Linked DNA regions of Notamacropus eugenii. The protein of the gene in region 3 interacts with the protein of the main gene of each other region in a pairwise test. Links are inferred from orthologs where the notes say so. Each region holds a gene or a part of one and is shown on either strand. Other genes may lie near its edges.

Region 1 (7,911 bases), on a different chromosome or scaffold from region 3:
ATTTGGAAGACCCACCAAAAGTTACCTAACTTATCTGATAAAGACAACCTTAAGATATCACTTTATGTCTACTTTAATTGCAAAATAACCCCAGAAATGGTAAATCAATGTTGGGAAAGAAGTTCTAATACATTTTAAAAAATAAAATAAAAACTAATGAATTATTATTAATGTGAATGCTGATGGTGGCAAACATTTTGAAGAGTAATCTAGTAATATATAATATGATCTAATTAACAGATCATAACTTTAGACCTGGTGACTCAAAAGTGAGGCAGCAGAGTAGAAAGAGACAGCCTTGCACCAGGAAGATCTAGGGTTACGGAGCAGCTAGGTAGTGCAGTGAATAGAGCACTGGCCTCAGACACTTGACACTTACTAGCTGTGTGACCTTGGGCAAGTCACTTAGCCCCAGTTGCTTTGCCTTCCCCCTTCAAAAAAAAAAAAAAAAGAGATCTGGGATTAAGACCCGAGTCTGTGACACATCAGGGTCCAGTGACCCTGGCTGAGTCATTTTACTTTTTAGTGACAGCTGCCCCCAGACAGCTAAGACTCTTAAGTTGCAGAGATGGAGCAGAGTTAAATTGGGAGGAGTTTCCTCACCTGGGAGTTCCCTACTCCATTGAAATCAGAGGTCAAGTCCCTAGACCTTGTCTTTAAAAAATGGAATAGAAAGTAAGTAAGGATCTATTGATACAATCATTATCTCTGCTTCTCTATATGTAAAAATAAATAATTAGAAACATCTATGTTTAATGTTTAGAGAATGTCATGCTCAATTGTGATATTTATATTACAGTGCTACCCCCTAAAGAAAGGATAAATAGGAAGTGTAAGAGAAAATATGCAAAGACCTCTATGAAGGAATGCAAAGTAAAATGATCAGAATCTTCTAACATATAATGTTTGAAGAAGCAACATGGCACATAATATAACATATATATGCATATATGTACATACTGTATATGCAGTTACATATGAAGCAATGTGCCATAATGGATAGAGAGTTGGTCTCAGAGTCAGGAGGACCAAGATCCAAGATCTAGCTCTGAAACATGCTGGCTATACTCCTGGAAAAGTCACTTAATTTCACAGTGCCCCATGCAGCAATCAATCTAAGACTGAAAGTTGCAGAATGAAAGTTGCAGAATGATCACAGATCTATGCTGGTGGAGGCATTTTCTTCACCAGGAAGAGATTCCCTACAATAGTAAAATAGGTCCAAATATAAACACACACACATACACCCCTCCCCACACACACACACATACACACTCATGCACATGCACATATTTGAAAGCCAAATGTAGCAGAGTAGCAATCTTGGAATGGAACAGAAAATAAAAGCATTTTTTGTTTGTTCATTTGTTTCTAATTTGTTAAATGTTGAAGGTTTACATAAAATTTTACATGTTTGTTTTCATCAATTGGTACAAAAGCATATTCATGAATTAATAATTTGTAAATGATTAAGTTTATAATAAAAATTAAAAACAAAAGCAATGTACTGAATCACTTCAAAAGGAAGTTAGTGGTCAATAACTAAATATTTATTAAGCATATATTATATTCTTAGCACTAGGTTAGGTGTTGTTAAGGATTTTTAAAAAAGTAGAACAATGATTAATATTTATCCATCACTTAAAAGATTTGCAATGCACTTTATACTGGGTGTCCCAAAAGTCATGGCTTAAAAATGACCAAAGACTTTTTAGACACCTTGCATCCATGATCTCATTTTGATCATGACACCCCTACCCCCATCGCCACCCTCCATGAATTACAGTACTATAATTATAATTATCCCCATGTTATAAATAAAGACACAGAGAGATAAAGCAATTTTCCCATAGTCACGCACTTCTTGTCAGAGAAGGGATTCGAACTCAGGTATTCCAGACTGTAAATCTAGTTCATTTTCTAAACAATATAATTAATATTTATATGGTACTTACTATGTGCCAGACATTGTGCTAAGCACTTTACAAGTATCATCTCATTAGATTCTGATAATCCAGATAGGTGCTATTATTATTCTCATTTCACAGATGAGGAAACTGAGGCAAATGGAGGTTAAGTGACTACATCAGACTGACTACTTTTGGTCCTACCTCTCAACAAGTTTACAATTTAAAATAAAACCAGCTAGTAATTATTTAACTGTGAGTTACTGGCTTTAAGTGAAAAAAAATTCAGTAGAGGGTGGAGGGTGGGGTGGGGAAGCATTAGGAATAGTTATTCCTAAAAGTCTAAGTGAAATTCTAGGCAAATGTAGTAGTTTATCATACTTTGAAGCACAGAGCTGGGTACACAGAAGAAACTGAATAAATACTTGCCAAATTGACTGTTTGGTGACAGAGAGATACTATTGTTTGTTGCCAGACACAGCTAAAAGGGAAGGATTCCCCTAGCCACTCATTACTTCACATGGTTTCTTTGGGGCTGAATCACTGACAAAGAATTGCATAGCACAGGTGTCCCACACAACAGATGGTCTTAATTAGCTGAGCTGCTAGTCAAGGCATGACTCTCCCCACACGCACACTCTCCACTAGGGCATTTGTATCTCTTCTGTGATAAGGAATGAATTATTACATTTAGCCAAATTATAAGTACCTGTGTCCCATTCAAAGGGCTCTTTCTTTTTCCTCTTCCCCATCTAAATAACCAGGTGTCACTTACCTCTGGAGATTTGTTCATGATGCTGATCCCTTTGAGTTTTGTCATGCCAAACTGTGCCTCTTGTAGTATGACAGACAGTCACAGTGGGAGAAGGAGGCTGGATGATTAGGCAATGTCACTTCTCAAAAGTGTCCTTCAAAGACGTCATCTGACAACACACAGGAAGGTGGTGAAAGGAGTCTTCTAAAAAGCAATATTTCTAGAACGTCTCTTAAGTGGAAAATGAAATGGATGCGTATGACCCCATAAATATGACCTCCTCTCACTCTTCACTGGTTTTCTGTGTACAAGCAGAGATCGCCAGTCTGTTTGCCCGTCTTACACTCACTTCGTAAAACCACATACACAGGGAGAGAAAAAAAGGTCAGCCTACCATTTCATAGAAGTTCTTATTTCAAATAACTCAGTGAAGAATGCTATAGGCTCTGGATTTTGCATGCCGAAGTCTGATAGGTTCACACTAGGGTGAAGTGAATCAGACTTCTTCAAACTTTCTCCACTGAAAAGAAGAAAAAAGGTTAATTTGCAAGTTTTCTACATTTAAAATCCTCTTCATTATCAAAGGGTTGGATGAGATAATATAGGTAAAGTGCTTTGCAAACATTAAAGCACTTCATGATACCTCCTTAATGCTAGTGCCTTTTCTCTGATAATTATCTCCAAATTATCTTTGTACATAGTTGTTTGTGTGTGTTAACCTTGACACATGCTGTTCCACCCATTAGACTATAATAAGTTCCTTGAGAGCAAGGACTGTCTTTTGCCTTTATTTGTATTCCCAGTGTTTAGTTTAGTACTTAGCACATAGTAGGTACTTAATAAATGTAGTTTAAAAATGTTAATTATATCATCATCATCATCATTGTCATCAGAGCAAGGAAATGGTCCTGGGTTCTTAAACGCTATGCCAATGGCATAATTTGGGAAGGTCTTATCATATCAGAAAAGCTTTAAATATGGACTTTGCAAGTCTGGCACCCAAGTTCCAGGCCACCTAAATGCAAAAAGGCTCATTGGTAGAAGGCTGGACACTATACGATGATTTTTTTAAGCCATAGCAATCCATGAAACCATTTGTCTCCTTTCTAATTCTATAGTGATAGTGGTGGGAAGAGAGCAGAGGGTACTCGCAGTTGTATGTCTCTTAGACTATTTTACAAAAAAAAAAACATTGAGCTGACACTCAAATTTTCATATGAATTTGTGATCTCATCAATGTGAATGTTTTCTCCAGTGATACAGATCACAATCCATCCATATCTGCCTGTTTGATGTGACTATTCATGCTTTTAGAAAAGGAGAGAGAAAGACAGAGACAGGACAGAGAGTGATGCAGAGTCAGAGATAGAAAGAAAAAAAGGAGGCAGAGAGACAGAATTAGAGACAGAGAATGATGGAGAGACAAAGACAGGGAAACAAAGAAAGAGAGTGACAGAGACAAAGACAGAAAAAGAGAGACAGAGACAGGAATGAAAAGTGACAGAGACAGAGATAGAGATAGAGAGGTGCAGGGAGACAGAGACAGGGTCAAAGAGAACAGAAAGAGGGACAGATACAGATAGAAATAAAAACAGAGAGACAGAGACAGAAATACAGAAATACAAAAACAGACAAACAGAGACAAAGACAGAGATAGAGAGTGAGAGATACGGAGAGAGAAAGAGATAGATAGACAGAGATACCGAGACAGAGAGAGAAAATGGCCATTAGTTTTTCATATGTCCGAAGGCAAGAAGTAACATCACTTCACTGGATACTTGGGCATCTTACCTTATAATGCTCATGATGAACATAAACAAACAGATAAAACCACAGCTTATGTACTAAGGTCTGTTGTAAAAAAAATAAAGTAAGGATTTTAAAAGTAGAGACTTCAAAGTCTTTTAAAATACATTTTTATTGATGTCTTTTGTTGTTAAATCACCTTAAGTTCTCTGTATTCTTCCATATCTCTCTTCCAAAGAGCCATGCCATATGTTGTTTTTTAATGGGAAATCCCTCCACCTCTGCAAAAGAGTAGGAGGAGGTGTCTTCTCACCTCTCTTCTTTGTGGTCATGCTCATTCTTTGTAATTTTATCACATCTTTTTTTAAAAATGTTTTGTGGCAGTTGTTCTTTACTCTGTTTTAGTCATTTTGTATATTATTTTCTTGATCCTTCTTACTTCACTCTACACTATTTCATGTAAATCTTTTCATACTCCTTAGTGTTTACATATTTGTCATTTCATATAGCACAATAATATTCCATTACATTCAGGTGCAACAATTTGTTTAGCTATTCCCCAATCCTTCAGTATTTCCTTTCTTTCTAGGTCTTTACCTCCACAAAAAAAGATGCTACTATAAATATTTGATTTATATGGAGCATTTCTTTTTATCAAAGACTTCTTGAGGCATATGCCTAGCAGCAAAGTCTCTGAGTCAAAGAAGATGGATATTTTTATCATTTTAGTTGCCGATTCTAAATTGTTTTCCAAAATGGTTGCAATAATTCACAGGTCCACCAAAATGCAGTTGTGTGCCTATCTTTCCACAACTACCCCAACATTGACTATGAAATATGGAAAGACCATGAAGAATTTGAAAATATCTTTCATAGAAATCAATGTATACCTTGGTACATTGAGATGTCAAAGCAAAGTGGGCAGCAAAGTTTACAATATGTTGGAAAATATGATGTGAAATCAAGACATGAAAGAGGCCAAAGGCTTACAGATGACTCAGATGCCTCATGCTTATAAGTCATGAATACCTCCTAGAGGAAGAAAGTTGTAAGACACTGAATGTGGTGATCATATAGCAACATTTCAAAAAAAGTGAAAATTATTATATCTTAACAAAATAGCAAATGTCTGGTCATTGGAGTCATTTCAGATCCAGCTTTCTGATTTCACTGTATAGTTTGATTGAAGGACCAAATCAAAACCAGCCTGGAGCAATGAATTAAAACGAGAATAAGATGTTGTGTGTGATTGCAACAACTCTAACTGCATCTTTTCAAAGGAGTTGTCATCACTCCTGTTATTTTCATGATAAAGATGTTGTCCCTATCACTATTTCTTAGAGATTAATTGATGTGAAATAGTAAGTATAATGAGGAAGCTATAAGAGCCCAGAAACTGCTTTATCCAACAAACATCAAGTGCAGACATGAACTACCATGGTTAAAATTGTTTTGCATACACATTTGTTTGCAAAACATTAAAGAGGAGGATGGAAAATGGGTAATATCACTTGAACAAAACAGTGAGAGCATGAAGAATACTTACAGAAATAAGTTGAAATAATTAATTTCCAGATATCCATTTTCAAAAGGTACAATAATATCTATGATAGTAGGGTGGCTAGGTGACCCAGTGAATGGAACACTGGCCCCGGAGTAAGGAAGACATGAGTTCAAATTTGACTTCAGACATGCACTAGTTGCATGACCCTGGGTAAGTCGTTTAACCATATTGACCTTAGTTTCCTCATCTTTAAAATGAGCTGGAGAATAAAATGGCAAACCACTCCAGTATCTTTGTCAAGAAAACCTGGGTCAGGAAGAGCTGAATGTGACTGAAACAAGTCAACAACCACAGTGATAGTGGTAACACAATTCTTGCTAAGTCTGGTCTTAAGGCCTCTCCTAGTTCAAAAACTGTTGAATTTACCCAAATCTTAGTTAATTTTTTTTTTTGGTAATTTAATGGCATTAACTAATCTTTTAAAAATAGCATCCTGCCATTGAGTAATAGCTCCATGCTTTTGAGGACCACAGTGGCAAAGGAACATTTCATTTGATGCCCTGTGTCAACAACAAACAGCCCTTATTTCCAGAGCCAAATCTCCTGACCCCATTCAATGGGACACAGTCCAATCTGGCTCTGTGAATGAATCACCAGTCCATAAATCAGGTAAAGCATATTTTCTTCATAAGGAAAATTGAGACTATAACCATCAAGGTAATGGAATATACTTTATACTGATTGTGTTTGCAGACTACTTAAAATAAAAACACCACACATTTTAAATTCTTCTCAATTCCTTCTAGGACCAACAAAGTGTTATTTAGCCATAGTTCCAAGATAACACTATTCTATTCAGTCTCCTCTCAACTGAGATTTTAGCTGACAGTCATTGGGAGGCTACCTGTAGCTGGGACCAGATGTTAGATGCTACTGTGCCTTCATTTCCAAATTCTTCTTCCATAGAGTCATTTAAATAAATGATCATGTGCTCTGATTGAGGTTCATGTTTTATTTTGTTCCTTACTGTATCTCTAAGAGAATGGTTGGCCCAGATTAGTTGATGCAGAAACATCACTCCATGAACCACCTGAATGATGCCTGCTGCTACAACTGGAAGTAGTAGATTCAATCTATCCCATCTTCATTTCATAAGAAAAATACAGTGGTCAATATTGACTCTGGGGCAAGTATAGCCCCATCTCTTGAGGTCATTTTTAGCTTTTCTAAGACTCTAAGAGCACTCTCAGGGACCACATCATTCTTGAAGTGCAGTGACACATGGGGTAAGATGAAAGTGTTTACTTCATCTATTTTTTGCCAAGGAGCCAATTATGACATATCCATGAGGCCCAAGTCTGTAGTCATGTTGGTTATCACATCCTTGACAGAATTTTGGTTTGGAACCCCATGGGAATTCCAAGGTAAGAATAGATGTTTTCTTCAGACATTATTAAGATCCCTTGATTTTTATATTTGAAATTGCATGGGGCATGTTTTCTTCTGGCTATCATTCAAGAAAGATACGCATTTGGTCCTGCTAAAATGGAGTTTTGGTCATGTGGCAAACTCATTTATGTTGTGCAGCATTTTGGTCAGGGAACCACTATAGCCAATTTTCTGTATATGCTTTTGGATACCAATTTTCCTGTTGTGTGAACTATATCCTTATCTTGTCCTTGTCCAGGCACGTATTATCAATTCCATTTTTAAGTTAAAAATTACAGGACTAAGAAGGTAGCCCTGACTCAACCCTGAGTAAATGTTAATGCTTGGTGTAAGCCATTTCTAGTGAGGGATCTTACTTACTTACAATCTAACAGAGTCAATAACACTAATGAATTCTTAACTGCTTCATGTTATAGTCAATCAATATTGTCTTCTTTGACATTGAATTGAATGTGATGATTAGGCCAAGCCAGGCTACCCCACACATTTTCCTTTTATATTAGGCTTCATCCAAAATGGACTGCAATAAGAAGTTATACTTACTATAGCCT
Region 2 (7,760 bases), on a different chromosome or scaffold from region 3:
GCATGAGGTTAATGAGCAGCTGCAGGCCCGGGTTAAGGCCTTGGAAAAGGATTCCCGGTAGGTTCCATAGGGTTGGGGAAGGAGAGGTAAAGGAGGAGGTGAGGATGGAGACAAACAGACTGGTCAGCTCCTGTGTTCTTGTGGGCCTCATAAGGAGGGCTCAGCAAGTCTTAGGTGCTCTATTGGAGAGGTTAGGCCTGGGTTGACTGTATGCATGATAGGACTACACTGCCTATGGCACCCTGGTTGGGTCCCAGTAATATGATCATCTCCAGAATCTAGGTGGCACAGTTGATAGAACATCTGGATCTGGGCACAGGAAAACTGAAGTCAACCCTGCCTCAGACACACTTAATAGCTGTGTGTCCCTAAGCAAGGGACCTTAACCTCTGTCTGCCTTAATTTTCACAACTATAAAATGGGAGTAGTGATCGCATCCACCTCCTAGGATTGTTGTAAGCATCATGAGATACTTGTAAACCCTGAAGTGCTCTATCATGTTAGCCATTATTATTCTTATGAGTTTACCTGAGGTGAGAGAAGATTCTAAAAGTAAGGCTCTTTTAGTTTGACAGACATTTATTAAGTGCCAAATATGTACAAGGTACTGGACTAGATACTAGGGATATAGAAAGAAAAAAATAGGGAAAATGGTCTTTTTTTCCTGAGGAGATTATATTCTAGTTGTTGTCTGGGCCAGCTGAGGCAAAAGAATTGGGTTTTGTCTTTTGGCAATCAAATCGGCATCAGTTCTCCTGACTGACAGTGCTCTCTCTCTCCCTCTCCCTAGGCGCAAGGCTACCCGTTCAGCAGCTGAGGCATCCCTCAAGCGTGATGGCCTGAGCTCAGATGAGGAATTTGACAATATCTATGACCCCTCATCCATCGCATCACTGCTCACTGAGAGCAACCTCCAGACCAGTTCTTGCTAGCCAGTAGTCAGCAAGGAGATTAGCGGCCAGGTTGCAGAAGGTTCTTCCCTCCTCTGACCCTAGGCTCCTTTTTCCCTGGTCCACCAGAGGACCCTGCTAGAGGGAGGGTCTGGATGGTGGTAAGGGGAATTCCTGAGCATGGGACAGAGTAGAGCTATGAAATGCACTTTCCCTCGCCTCCTCTGCGGAGTTTGGGTGGGAGTGGGTAGGTGACAGGAGAGAAGGAATTAAGAGATTTTAACCTATAGAGCTTGTACTTTTTCAGCCTCTTTATCCTAAGGCTCAGGGACATTCTCCATGTGATCCTTTACCCATCCTTTTCCTGATTGGGAAAGGAGGCTTGGGAGAAGGGAGATATCATGGATTGTGGACACGCTGGCGTGGTCCTGCCTGCTTTTCTTTGCACAATCTGTGGGTCACTGGGGTACCCCAATGCCTCTAGACTTTCCATTTTACCTTTACCTGCTTTGAGCCAGCAGATCCAAGGGACCCTTTTTCCTCTTCCCAAGTCATCCTTCTTACCTTCTTCTCAGTGCCTTAGCTGGGGTGAGGAGATGGGGTGATGCTCTTCCAAACATAACCTCCTCACATCACCATCAGGTTCCGTTTTTGGTCCTTGTGCTCATCCTTATTCTCCAGATTGCTGGTTAAGAAGGTAAAACAAGACAAGCTGTCTTTCCTTTCTAGGGAAAGGAGAGGCAAAAAGGGCCTGTGCTAGGGTAACATGGTTTTGTGGGAAGGACTTCTTACGTTCATGGGCTTCCCTTGGTGGCTATGTGGTTATGATTTGGTTGGGGCTAGGGAGCCCTGCCAGTTGTCTCAATACATTTAAAGATTCACAGATCAAAGAGCCTCGTCAGGTCTAATGGTTCCACTGCAGGCTTCCCACAGATCTACTCCTGGCCACAACAGGGAATCCAAGGATCCCTCATTTTCTCAGGAGCCTGGTCCCTAATGCTAGCTTCTCTGCCTCAAGCTTGGAATTCTGACTTCAAAATGGAATGAGAGGAGGAAATGAAGACCTCCATACAGCCTTTGGCTTTTTAGGACAGACCCAGCCCAAATGAATCAGCAGCAGCAGCCTGGGGGAGGGAAGCATGACTACACTCACCAATGACTTGTAACTTTGTGATTTTTGTACCTCTTTTCCTTGGACAAATCAGATATCTTTCTTTCCCTCCAATTTTTTTCCTCCTTGATTTTATTTTAAATTAAAATATATATATAAATATATATATCTTTATATTGTGGACCTCATTATCCCCTCACCTTCCCTCTATGGCTGTTTTCCTAAGTTCTTAACATCCAAGAGCTGAAATTGGAAGGGACTTCACAGCTCTACATGATGGGGAGGGAGCTGGGCAGCACAAGCTGCAGCCCGAGAAAAACCCAGGGGTCCTGGCTGTATGACCTGTCCCATTCTCCACTAAATTCAAGGGAGGTACAAAAGGCATGGAGGTTGTGGAATCTGTTAGGGGCAGAGGGGCTTTGAAGAGGGGGGGAGGAATGATTGGGCAGATATGGAACCAAATAGAACTGGTTCTCATTCCCTGGGGCTATCAGGATGAGGGGAAAAGGAAATTCCCAACACCCATTTCTCAGGTGCAAGGGTCCCCACCCATTCTTACTTGGCATAGAGCCCAATCCTTGTGGTGGGGTGGGGAGGCAGAGTTTCTGCCAATCCTGTTCAAGTGTCTGTTTGAAAGGGGCAGCTATCTTCAGGCATGGTGCTATCTCCAGTGCTACTTATCTCTGTGCTATCTGCCAGGGTACCTGGTGGACTTGAGTTCTAGCAGCACAGGGGTATGCCAACAGCAAACTTACCAAACGTGCCCGGGGCCACCTGCAGTCTTTCCAATGCCAGACTTATCGTGCCTCATTCTGAGACGAAGCCCTAACTTACCTGTGACCCAGTGTGGTAGTCACCTGCCTAGAGTGGTAGAGTGCCTGGGCTGGGAACTGGAGCCTCTGGGTCTTATGCCAAAGCTTTGCTCCCTTGTCTTCTCTTTCTTTGGAATGTTTAAGTAGAAGAAAGGGGGTTTTGTTTATCAGCCTTTGCAGTTTCTTCTTACCTGTTTATACTTCCTGAGTCCTTGTTTTAAAATTGCTATCAACATGAAAATTGTGACGTGCTTGCCTATATCCCTTTGCTAACGTTTACATGTTAAGAAACTTTATAAAAGGACTTTGGTAAACTAGAGTCCATTCAGAAGTGTGCAATCAACTGAGTGAGGGTACTGGGAAACCGTGAATAAAAAGATCATTTGGAAGAACTAGGGCTGTTTTGCCTAGAAAACAAGGTTTAGGGAGGACCCTGAAAATAGCTAATGATAACAGCTAACACTTAACTTAGTGCTTTACAGTCTGCAAAGTGTTTTACATATATTATCTCATTTGATCCTCCACAACTCTGTGAGGTAGGTGCTATTATCCTCATTTTATAGATGAGAAAACAGCCTGAGAGAGATTAAATGATTTGCCTGCAGTCACACGGCTTAGTTATCTGAGGCTGGATTCAAACTCGGGTTTTCTTGACTCTCAATCCAGCACTGTCATCTATACCACCAAGCTGCCTTTCGATGATATTACTTATCTTCAAATACTGAAAGGACTGTCATGTAAAAAGGAGGCTTGATTTAGTCTGCTTGGTCCCAGAGGGCTGAATCCAGCAATGCACAAAGTTGCAGAGGCAGATATGGAAAAAGCTCAAAAGTTGAGTTCCCCTAAAATGGAATAAGCTGGCACTGAAATAGCTAGTGATCATCATTGAAACTCTTTAAGTGGAGCATTGACCATTTATTGATGATTTAGTTGAGGGAATTCTTAGTCTGCTCCAGTTTGGACTAGATAATTTGTGAGATTGTTTCCAACTGGGAGATTCTATGATTGTGTGGAGCATGCAAGATGGCTGGCTCCCTGAGATCAAGTTACAAGACTTGATCCGGGAGGGCAAGCCAGTCTAGTTCCTGGGAGTACAGATCACTCTTGGCAGTTCAGCCCACCTGTATCGCCTATGGAGGAGAGCAGCTGCAATTGATTCTAAACCCTGCCTGGACAAAAACAGAACCAGCTGGCATCCACCGGCAGGTTCTTGCCAAGCCAGGGCACCTGACAGGCAGGCCTATACTCAGCTTTAGTGAGGGTGACTCGCTGACATGCATAACTACAGAGGGAAGAGAAAGGGACCATCCAGCTCCACAAAGCTCTTATGCTCACAATATCGTAGGGTTTAGAACTGGAAAGGACTTTTTTTTAAGCCTTTTAGTGATGAGGAAATCAAATAGTAGAGATGAGTCTCCAACATCTTCCCTTTCCATTGTCAGACTCGATTAGAACTCTGTGGAGTTCTAATACTTCCCCCATCCCCTCTAGGCATGAGGTAGCCCCCCCCCCCCCCCTTTGGTTCCATCCATCCATCCGGAACAGCTAGGAACTAATTCGTAGCTTGGGGAGGGGAAAGGAGACGCTGAGGAAGGCCAGTTGGAGAGGAAAGGGATAGGGAGAGAAAAAAAGAAGTTGACCTGAAAGTCGGATGACCTAGAATCTATTTACTACCTGTCTGACTTTAGATAGGCCACTCCCCCTCTCTGGGTCTCAGTTTGCTCAGCTGTTCTATGAGACGGGCCAGGACTACATTTACCCGAGCTCTCAGGTACTTTGGTTATAAAGTAACACTTACTGAAATTAACATTGGAGACCTGGAAAGTCACTCCTGTGTGGCGCCATAACCCCGCCCTTTATGCAAATAGAAACTGCCGCCAAGGGGGGCGTGGCCAGGCTACTAATACCCTGTCCCGCCCCTAGCTGCTTCCCCCGCCCCTCTGTCCTCTTCCAGTTGGCTGAGTCTAGACTGAGAGGAGGTGTGGCTTCCCCGGCTTGCCCGTGGCTCGATGCGCCTATATATAGGGGGGCCGGTCCCGGCGTCCCGCCTTCCCAGTAGGATCTGGACCGCTGCGGAGCGCCGTGCTGGCCTTTTCGGAACCGCTCCGGAGCGGTCCGGGCCGGAAGACCATGAACGGGACGGGCAACTGGTGTGCTCTGGTGGACTTGCACCCCGAGGGGGAGAGCGCGGTAAGAAGGGGCAGCGGCCCGCTGGGGCGCAGTCCCGTCCCCCATCCCTTCATTCCCTGCCCTGCTCCCCTTTCTCCCGGCCCATCCCCAGTTTCGCTCGGTTGTCTTAGGCGTTTCCTCCCAGTCCTGTGCCATCTTCCGCAGGTATCAGGCCTCTTCGCGTTCCGCCCCCACCCCCAGCCGGGTACAGCTCCCGGACATGGTCTGGGATATTGGCCACCTGCCCTTGGGAGGCGACGGCCCGTCCTTGGCTCCCCGTGACACTGCTGGTGCGGTGACGACTTTAGCCCTTGAACCTTGCTTGGATCACTCATCGGTTGAACCTTGAGAGAGGGAGGGAGGACGTATTTCAATTCAACCTGCGTTCATGAAGCCTTATGCTCGGTGCTTTAGCTAATTTTAAAGGGGGAAATAGCCCCTGCCCTCCCAGAATTTACCTTCTGCTGGAGGAGCGGCTCACACGCACCCAAGGAAATTACAATACCAGGTAGTTGGAGAAGACAGACCGACATACCATTGAGGGTAAATCAGAAAAGGCTGAATCAGCTGAACTCTTCCGGAACTTCGGTTTTTCTAATTTGTAAAATGGGGATTGGGATAGTATCTGCATCCCCCACCTCACAGGTTCGTTAGGAGGCAAAGACTTAAGTCTACCTAGAAGTACCATGTAAAAGAGTGATGATGTGATGGATGGTGATAATGAATTCATATGACAGGATGTGAATCTGGGGAGGACCTGCTTTTTATTTACTCTATTTCTAATTATCTCTCAGTTTCTGATTTCGGAAGAATTCAGAAGTTTCTGGTTTCACTTTGTGACCTGTAGCATCAGAGATGCAGCTGAGCTCTTAAAAAATTGATGCAGGGTACTTTTTGGACCAAAAAAAAAAAAAAAAAGACTGGATTTGCCCTTCCCCCTCCTTATTCAGGTTCCTCCTGTGGAGCAAGATTCAAATGAAAACCACCTAGAGAGGCATGTCTTTCTTTGAGAGATGGTCTTTTTCTGCTGTGGAGAAATCCACCTCCCAGGAGAGCCTCTAATGGGACCAGTCCTCTATCCTACAGGCTGTGACCCCAACCTACTTCTGGTGTGATCCTGAGTGTCTTTTAGTTGTACTTTAATCTTCAAGTCTGTGGGAGGCCAGGGTGGAGGAGGAGGAGCTAGGACAAGAAATGGGCCCTGGTCCTTTACTACACAGGGCCTAGAGATTTCCCCACCCCAATACAAGTGTGCCGCATATTTCTTTGACCCCACTACCCAGCTGTTCCTAGAGTTTCCCAGGGAGAGGAGGTGGAGGGTAAGTTGTGTGGTTCTGTGTTTTCTGGCTCCTCTAGGGAATTTTACCCAGCGTGGGTGTGTCTGGTTTCATAGATTTTCAAGCTGCTATGGTTTAGAGTGAAACAGGATAGGGGATGTTTGTAAGGAGGTGTGTCTCCCTTCTCCCTGGATTTTTTCCTCCTCTTTTGTGGCTGCCTGATGCATTGTCCTTGAGGTAGCCTTTCTCCAACTCACATGTTAATTCATTTAAATTATATTTGTGCACTGGTAATTTCGTATAATTGGCATTGGAATTCACTCATCGTTCCCCTTGTCTCCTGCCCCCCAGCAAAGGAAATTGAGTTTCTTTCAAGCAGATAGATGCCTTGGTCCTGCACCCCCCAGACCATGCCTCCTTCTAGGCAGTGGCTACTTTTCTTCTTTATCCTATCCTAGTTTCTGGATTCTCAACAGAACATTCATTCTCTTTTGTTCTTTGCCCTGGCCTAGCCCTACGATTTCTTGTTTCCTGTCCCTGATGGGGGCAGGGAGAAGATGTGTGTGTGTGTGTGTATATGTATGGTGGGGGGGCAAGAAATAGACAGGGAAAGGGATATTCAATACTCTGTATGGATGAAGAAACAGTCTCAGAGATGGCAGGGCACTCCTGAGGTCATTAGGCCAAAGCATTGGTTTTATTGAGAATGTATCCCTGTTCTTTCAGTCTCTAATGTGTTTTTCCTTGTCTGATAGAGCAGAAAAATGGATAAGAAAATGGGGAGAATGGAATTCAGACCCTCTTCTCCTTTCTGAAAGAATCTGAAACCAGATCCCTTTGAACACAGGAAGTAGAAATTCCCTCCTACTTTTAGTCTATGGAGTCAAAGGTTTATCTTGTACTGAGATTAGGGAGGAATGAACTGGCCGGTTACTAGCTCGTCCTGGACCTTGAAAGAGATGGGTGAGGATGAAAATCAGGCACCCACAGCAGGCTCCCCCCAGAGGATGTCCTGGATTTTTCCCTTCTGACCCAGCCCTAGTCAAGCACCTGGGACTTATGGCTCTCTGGCTGGTCTCCAAAACCCTGTTAATACTTATTGATGGATTCCTTTGTGAGTGGGCAGTGTAGCTGCCTGAACCAAAACATGGAATCCGTGAAGGGAGTCAAGAGCCAGGGTGTCCTTTAGAGTTTTCAAGTGGACATGATTTTTGTGAGTGGTAAAACTTCTTCTGATTTCCCCTTTTTATATTGGAGGAGGACAGAAGTAGGGATGACACAAAACAGCAGATAACCTAAATGTTTCGTATTTAAATGAATCAAAAAGCCTTTGTTAAATGCTTACTGTGTGCCAGGCTATATTTATCTTTGGCATGGATTCTCTGATTTTAACAAGCTTCCCCCCACACACCCCAAGATTCACCTTCCTACTTCTTATCTGCTTAACCTTTTCTTAACCTTTTTTGGGGGGACCTCTGTGGCAAGTCTGATGAAGCCAGTC
Region 3 (7,252 bases):
AGTGGAAAAGTATCTAAATGTTGACCTAGAGATGAAGTCTTGAGTTCAGGCCCAGAGTAAAGCAACTTAGTTCAGAGCCCCACTAAAACACTAAGCATTCAGGCCTCTCTAAATTTAGTGCTTTTACTTACCCACTCCCAACCCTACCCCACCCAAACACCCAGACCCTTCCAGGTCCCTCCTCTGGAGGTGCTGTTTCCCTTCTTCACTTTGGTTGCCTCACTACTCCACACAGAAGAAATTCACCCACTCTCATTCTAACTTTGGGTTCCAGAAAGCTCTGACTTTATGCTTAGCCTCTCCTCTTGCTCCTATTTTCAGACCCCTGTAGTTTCCCCTCACCTGGTCCTGGGCAGGAGGCGGGACGGGACGTTGTTTCTCCTGCACACGGGGCTTCTCTCTCTGTTGAGCATAGGTGAAGCTGGGAGGCTGAGGCTGTTGAGGGGACCCTGCAGCAGTGGGGGGTGAAGGACCCACCTTCTTGTGAGGGGGACCCCCAGGTGCTGGAGGACTAAACTTAGGGGTCACAGGAGTGAACTTGGGGGCCACAGCATTAAACTTGGGGGTAGAGGTAGGGGCTGGGGGTGGGGGTGGAACTGCAGATGGAGCTACAGCTGGAGGTGGAGCCACTGGTGGAGCTGGAGCCACTGGTGGAGCTGGAGCTGGGGGACCTCGAGGCTGTGTGGTTAAGGTCTTAGACACAGATACAGAGTGGGACTGAGGAGGGCTAGTAGGAGCCAGCCAAGGAGGAAGAGGTGCTGTGCCAGAAGCTGCAGATGGGACTTTAGGCTTGGGAGGGAATTGGGGGGCAGCTGGGGGAGGCACAGATCCAGATGAAACCTGCAGGGGAGAGGAGTTAGGGGGAGAACTAAGTTAGAAGAAGGTGTTGTCTATCCTATCACACACACACCCCTATGTAGGTTCACTGTGTTTATCTACAAAGACACAGCCCCCCCACACACACCTATGCAGGTTCACTTTATCTACACACACAAATACACACACACACACACACACACACACACACACACACACACACACACACACACACACACACACACACACCTATGTAGGTTCACTTTATCTACAAAGACACAGCCCCCAAACACACACATACATTCCTGACCTCCCCCACTTTCCCTACCCCATCCCTCACCCTGGGCTTGAAGGGATCATTCCGGGCCATGTCATCCAAAAGGGAGGACAGAGAATCCATCTCCAGGTCAATGCTGCTCACCTTTCCTCTAGGCTGAGGAGTAAAGAATTTGAGGACCCAGGCAGACTTCTTTATACATCGTACACTGAGTTTCAGGACTCCCCTCCCCCAAGGATATTCAATCCTACACAGCCTATAGGGCTATATGGAAGTTTCCTAAAGTTCCCTGCCCCCACTGAATATTTCCCTGCCCATAAGTGGAGAAAGCCAGGCAGAAACAGTAGGCCTCCTTCTATAGCCCTTTTATGGAGTATCCATTTCAGCCCAGTGCTCTTTTCCCTTCACTCACCTGATGGGCTGGTGCTGGAGGTTCAACCCCCACTTCTTCTTCCAGAGGAGGTGGAGGGGAAGGGAATGTCTCTTCTTCTGGAGCAGGGGGGAATGGCTCCTCAAATGGAGGAGGGGGTGGCGGAAAGGGCCCTCCCAAAGAAGCCTCTCCATCATCCCCAGGTAGCAATGGAGGTGGTGGCAGAGGGAAATCTAGAGGCAGGAGAAAGAGATTCATCAACAAGGCCCTCCTCCAGTTGTACTGGGAGGGCCTGTAAGGAATGAGGTAAGACCTAAGGTTTACTGGGCATCCTGTTCAGGCCTCTGAAGTCCTGGGTATCCCAGTACCCCATAAAGAGATCTCTTTCCATTAAGAAGGTATGTTTTAAGTCAGGAAGTCCTGCTGAGAAGGGAACTCACTCCCCCTTTCAGTTTAACAAGCAAACTCAAAGAGCCATGCCCCACACACATTCTCGCTCACACCCACCCCCGGGCCAGGAATTTGAAATGGACCCAGGAGTCCTGGCTCGGGGCCACGGGCTGCAAGATGAGGTAAGAACATCTGCTCAGACCGAGTGGCCCGATACCCTCTCCACCTCCCCACCCCTACCCACACAAGCTCCTCGATCCCTTGCACCCCTTGGCTTCCAGACATCCCCCCACAAAGTCCTTACCTTCCGGGGGTGGGGGAGGAATCTCCCCCACCTTGCCCATCTGAGCCCTCTGGGCCCCGGGCCCTGGCGGGTTCTCCGAAGCCCCGGCCCGGAAAGGGTTCACTTTGGGTTTGGGGGCCACGACCGGGGCAAACTTCTTCTGCGGGGCATAGAAGGCGGGCGCCGAGACCGAGACGGAGATGACAGGGGGGGGCCGGGGGGCCGCCATGCGGAGGCTGGGCTGGAGGAAGGGCCGCAGTTACCATGGACAGAAGGATGAATGGATGGCTCTCCCCGCCCGCTCTGGAGCCCCCAGCCCCGGGACAGGGAAGGGCCCGCAGGCCCCCCCCACCCCCCACCCTGAACTTGCGGCCGGGGCCGCCTGTCCCCTCTACCCCATCCTCTCTCACCGCGGGGCTCGGCCCGTCTATTCCGCCAGCACGAAGGAACAGTGGTCAGTGCGACGTCCAGCCCAGCTGTGACTCCGTCCGTCCGGGCGTCCCGAGCGGCTTCTGACTGGGGGGAAGGAGGGCGGGGAGACACAGAGGCAGGGAGACCATACAAGGAGCGGCCCAGAGAGGAGGCGGGGAGATCTGGAGCCAGGAGGCGGGGAGAACTGGGGAGACGAGGTGGCTGGGCTGGGCTGGGGGGTGGGAGAGCAGGAAACTCCCCCAGGAAGGGGCCCAGATCACGCCCAGGACCAGGGAAAGCAGAGAAGATCCTCCTCCCAGCAAACCTCCCCGCGGGCTACAGAGTCAGAGACGGGCCGGCCCTCCCAAAACACGCTCCGCTGATGTCATTTCCTGACCTCCCCCCAACACACAGCGGCCCCCTCCTCCTTCCCGGAGGTCTGACTCACTGTCCCAGTTCCCCCCATCCCACCCCCATCCTCACCTCCCACCCCCGTTCGGCTTTGTGCGGCCAAAGTCGGGCTGGGGGCCGAAGGAGCAGATCCAGCCTTTGCCCCTGACTTGGTCTTCCAGTCCAAACCAGCTGTTCTCTTAGCCCCCCCAGCCCTGTCTCCCCGCCCCCCGTTCTCCTCCTCCACCCAGGTCCCCAAGAATTCCCGCCTACCGCCTGCTCTGGGTCTAGACTCTAGGGAGAAAGGACGTAGACCCGCTCCTAGCCACTAAACACACCTCCCACCCTCTCCCCACGGCCGCCGCCAACACGTACACGCTTAGACAAAATCCACACGTTTCAATGGGGGGACCGAGGGCGCCGGGGCAGTGAAATGAGGAAGGACTGCTAAATCACCAGACCCTATTTCCCTAGGGGTCCAGGAAAGGTTTCTAGCTCTTGAGCTACGAGTTCAAAATACGTCTTTTCAGCAGCTCCGGGTTAGCCAGAGCTCCACCCCAAAAGCCCCTCTGGGCTAGTGAATTTAAGACTCAGAATTGCTAGAGGCATGCACTGGGCTGGCCTGAAACTGAAGGGAAGTGGAGGTGGGTGTGGTCTTTTCAGTTATTGAAGGTTTGGGGGGAGAATATGGAGAGGTCAGAAAGGTATTTTTACACACACAAAAGCCAAAACCAATTCAGTTTGGGTGCATCTCTCCACACACCCCCACACTCCTACCCCCCCTCCGCCAGAAAGAAAACCTAACTAGCGTCATTGAATAAGAAAACTATAAATGAAAGGGACCTTAGATCTACTTCAACCCCTCTTTTTAAAGAGGAAGAGTCTTTAGGCCATAAGGGTAGTAAATACCTTGTCTAGGGTCATACACCTAAGTTATTGTGCTTGTCCTTCATTTTCGAAGAGGACCATGACATCAGGGAAATGATGACCTGACTTGCAGTTGACTTTGATTCGAGTGAGGGAGTGCTATGCAAGGTCACCAGCCTCACTTTTTCCTCCACAAACACCTAGTAAGTAAGTGGTGGATGGGGACTTCCAGTGCTGTAAGCATCTGTAGTCTATCCCTCATTATCAAATGCTGTACTTTCTTCTTTTGAAGAGTATCAAGTCAATTGGCATTTATTCAGTACTTATCATGTGCCAGGTCCTGTGCTAAGCAATATAGGATACAACTACTGTACAAGCAAAAGGGACTGTTTCTGTGTTCAAGTATTTCACATTCTAAGCTCCTTCTACCTCTCCTACATGCTCCCTTATTTTCATTTCCACTACCTTCCTCATCAATTTAATAAAAAGTCAATTTAAATGTATTTATTAAGTATCTATGCAACGCAAGACACTGGATTTCAAAGATGAAAACCAATACAAACACTGACCTCAAGTTGCTTATAAGCTACACAGGCTATGTTATGTACAAGAATTATATAATACTAAGGTAACACCTCAGTACCCCACTCACAATTGGGTCTCCGGTACTCAGAGTCCACATCCACTCAGATCATAGTTCATTATCCCCTAATTTGTTAATTGTTACTAGTTAGTGAGCAGACAACAGTAGATGAATGCAAAGGCATTTAATGAATTAGCCTCATAAGAAGAAATAACGTTAGAATAATTCCCCCATAAAACTGAATAACACTCTTCTATAAACACACACCATCACTGGAAGAGGTGAACTACAACTAGGAAACATGTATGGAGGGGCACATATGTAGAAAACACTTATTCGCAGGGTATACCCAGGGATGGGCAACTCACACCTTTGAAACCTAGGGCTGCTGATGTCTTCTGGAGATGTTACCATGCTGCTCCACCTAGGAATACTCCCCACTGATCTTGCTTGGCTTCTGCTATATGGTCTTCTGTTGGTCTACATGGTTCCTGCCAAATATGGATCCACCAGATACAAGATTGGATAGCTTTGTTCTATTACTAATTTCTAACCAGCTAGAATCATCAGCTGAAGTGTGTTATCTCTTGCTGTAAGAAGGAGAGGGGTGGGCTCTCCACCATGACTCTTTTAGCTTAAAGTCCAAAGGCTTCACATCTTTTAGAAATGCAGAGCCATCACATCACATCACTGCTAATTGTTTTCCTTCCCATTGATTAGTTTGGTAGTATTCAGAGTCATGGTCATGATATAGACTTTCCTCTTCAGAGACAAAGATTTTCTTTCAGAGGCAAAGTCCTTTTGATTTACAAAATAGTTAGCTAATTTTTGCCCACAAAACATTAAGGGGCAGCTGGGTGGTGCAGTGCATAGAGTACCAGTGCAGGAGTCAGGAAGACCTGAGTTCAAATCTCATCTCAGACGCTTGACACTCACTAGCTGTGTGACCTTGGGCAAGTCACTTAACCCCAACTGCCTCATTCTGGGTCATCTCCAGTCATCCTGATGAATATCTGGTCACTGGATTCAGAGGGGTCTGGAGGAGAAGTGAGGTTGGTGACCTACACAGCCCTTCCTCACTCAAAACAAAGTCAAGTGCAAGTCATGTCGTTATTTCTCTGATGGCAACGAAGGATGAACACACACAAGGCATTAAATCTATTTTTCAACCCAAACTTCACCAAAAGCAAGGTCTCTTCCAAACTTCTATCTAATTTAGGATCAGAAAACCCTTATAACATCTGTTTATATTCCAACTGCCAAGCATCACCACTTCAGAAATACTTTAAAGACTTCCCTCTCAGCAAAAGTTCCCTGATTTTCTCAACCTCAAGGTTCTTTTTGGTCCCATATACAAATGAATGGAAGGGGAGAAAGGGCAAAGGTATATCCCACTCCCCCAGTCATCTGAATGCCTTTCTTTCAAAGTTCTTTATATGTTTATTTCATATGTATATATTTATATACATACATACACACACACACACACACACACACACACACACACACACACACACACACACACACACACAAAGATATTCAAGCTCCTAGTTTGGTCACCAACCTAATCTTAGTTTCAAGGTTTCAGGTTTCCTTCCTAAATTTGATTGACTCAATTAGATCTTTGATAAGAATGAAACCAAGAACTTTGGAATAGGGTGTTTATTCCTTTGCATTGACCACACCTTCAAAAGCAGGGAGACCAATAAGTTTTATTTTGTTTTTCGTTAAGGAGAGGCCAAGGACTTTAGACCAGGTCTAATTCTTCAAGACCTTATTTGGGTTTTGTTGGCAAAGATACTGAAGTGGTTTGCCAAAATCTTCTCCAGCTGATTTTACAGATGAATACCTACAGCAAACAGGGTTAAGTGAATTGTCCAGGGTCATACAGCTAGTAAGTGTCTGAGGCCAGATTTGAATTCAGGAAGATAAGTCTTCCGGACCTCAGGTCCAGGTCTCTAGAGCTGCTCTGCTATCTAACTGCCTCTTTTAGGCTAGGATCCTGCCAGGTGATCTTCAGAATTTCTTCAAATGCAAAACGAACACTTGCCAAAAAGACTATTTTATGGAGAACTCACATAGGGCAAAGGTTCACATGGTGGTCAGAAGAACATTACAAGGACAATCTCAGGGTGTCCTTAAGAACTTTGGCATTGATTGTGTGACATGGGATCTACTGGCACAGGACCGTTCAGCATGGCCTGCCCTCATCAGAGTAGGTGCAGGGCTCTATGAGCAAAGAAGAATTGAAATAGCTCAAAAGAAACGTGAGATGCGCAGATTTAGAGAATTCACCCCAAATGTTCACATAACGTATTTGTGCCCATTCAGTGGTAGAACATTTTGAGCTCCTATTGGTCTGATCAGCCATAGTTGGACACACTGTAACTTGACTCTAGCATAGTGACGTCATTTTGGTCCTCTTCAAGAATGAAGAACAACAACCAACTAGCCAACAAACCAGGATCTTGTCATTATATTATTTCTTGAGATTTCCTTGAAGGACAGTCTTTAGTGAATATATTTTTACAAATGTATGGATGGGAGATATTTTGTTGTAAAAAAGCATACAAGGAAGCATTTTGTTCATATGAATCAAATGTTGTTGTTTTTTTTATAATTAACAAATAATGGGTAAAATGGGACCTTAACATTCTCTAATCTTTCATTTTGAAATAGTAAAGGTGTGGTCCATAGCTGAAGATTGCTTCTAAAAGTCATTTCCCTACCTGAATACCCTTGTTAAGGATGCTCTCAATTACTATATAGGTGATTTTCAAAAGGATTTTGTATAAATGGGAGAGTAGGTATATAGGTGATTAGTTTCTGATGGTCTCTTGGTTGCTTTTTTCAGTATTAATAAAG

The links.
Region 1: the proteins of ZYX (region 3) and CASS4 interact in binary tests that used the Homo sapiens proteins (3 or more experiments, as listed by UniProt). The link is inferred for Notamacropus eugenii from reciprocal best matches to the Homo sapiens genes ZYX and CASS4.
Region 2: the proteins of ZYX (region 3) and TUFT1 interact in binary tests that used the Homo sapiens proteins (3 or more experiments, as listed by UniProt). The link is inferred for Notamacropus eugenii from reciprocal best matches to the Homo sapiens genes ZYX and TUFT1.

What each region holds. Positions count from the first base shown.
Region 1 is NC_092872.1:509,784,378-509,792,288, forward strand, and holds the start of CASS4 (cas scaffolding protein family member 4), read right to left. Parts: upstream 3,001-7,911; 5' UTR 2,728-3,000; coding exon 2,683-2,727; intron 1-2,682. UniProt on the Homo sapiens protein: Docking protein that plays a role in tyrosine kinase-based signaling related to cell adhesion and cell spreading. Regulates PTK2/FAK1 activity, focal adhesion integrity, and cell spreading.
Region 2 is NC_092873.1:305,446,740-305,454,499, forward strand, and holds the start of TUFT1 (tuftelin), read left to right. Parts: upstream 1-4,760; 5' UTR 4,761-4,943; coding exon 4,944-5,003; intron 5,004-7,760. Other genes in the region: CGN (cingulin), read left to right, coding at 1-57, 791-932. UniProt on the Homo sapiens protein: Involved in the structural organization of the epidermis. Involved in the mineralization and structural organization of enamel.
Region 3 is NC_092874.1:104,911,739-104,918,990, forward strand, and holds the start of ZYX (zyxin), read right to left. Parts: upstream 3,046-7,252; 5' UTR 3,031-3,045; intron 2,653-3,030; 5' UTR 2,547-2,652; intron 2,378-2,546; 5' UTR 2,366-2,377; coding exon 2,158-2,365; intron 1,697-2,157; coding exon 1,506-1,696; intron 1,250-1,505; coding exon 1,157-1,249; intron 841-1,156; coding exon 343-840; intron 1-342. UniProt on the Homo sapiens protein: Adhesion plaque protein. Binds alpha-actinin and the CRP protein. Important for targeting TES and ENA/VASP family members to focal adhesions and for the formation of actin-rich structures.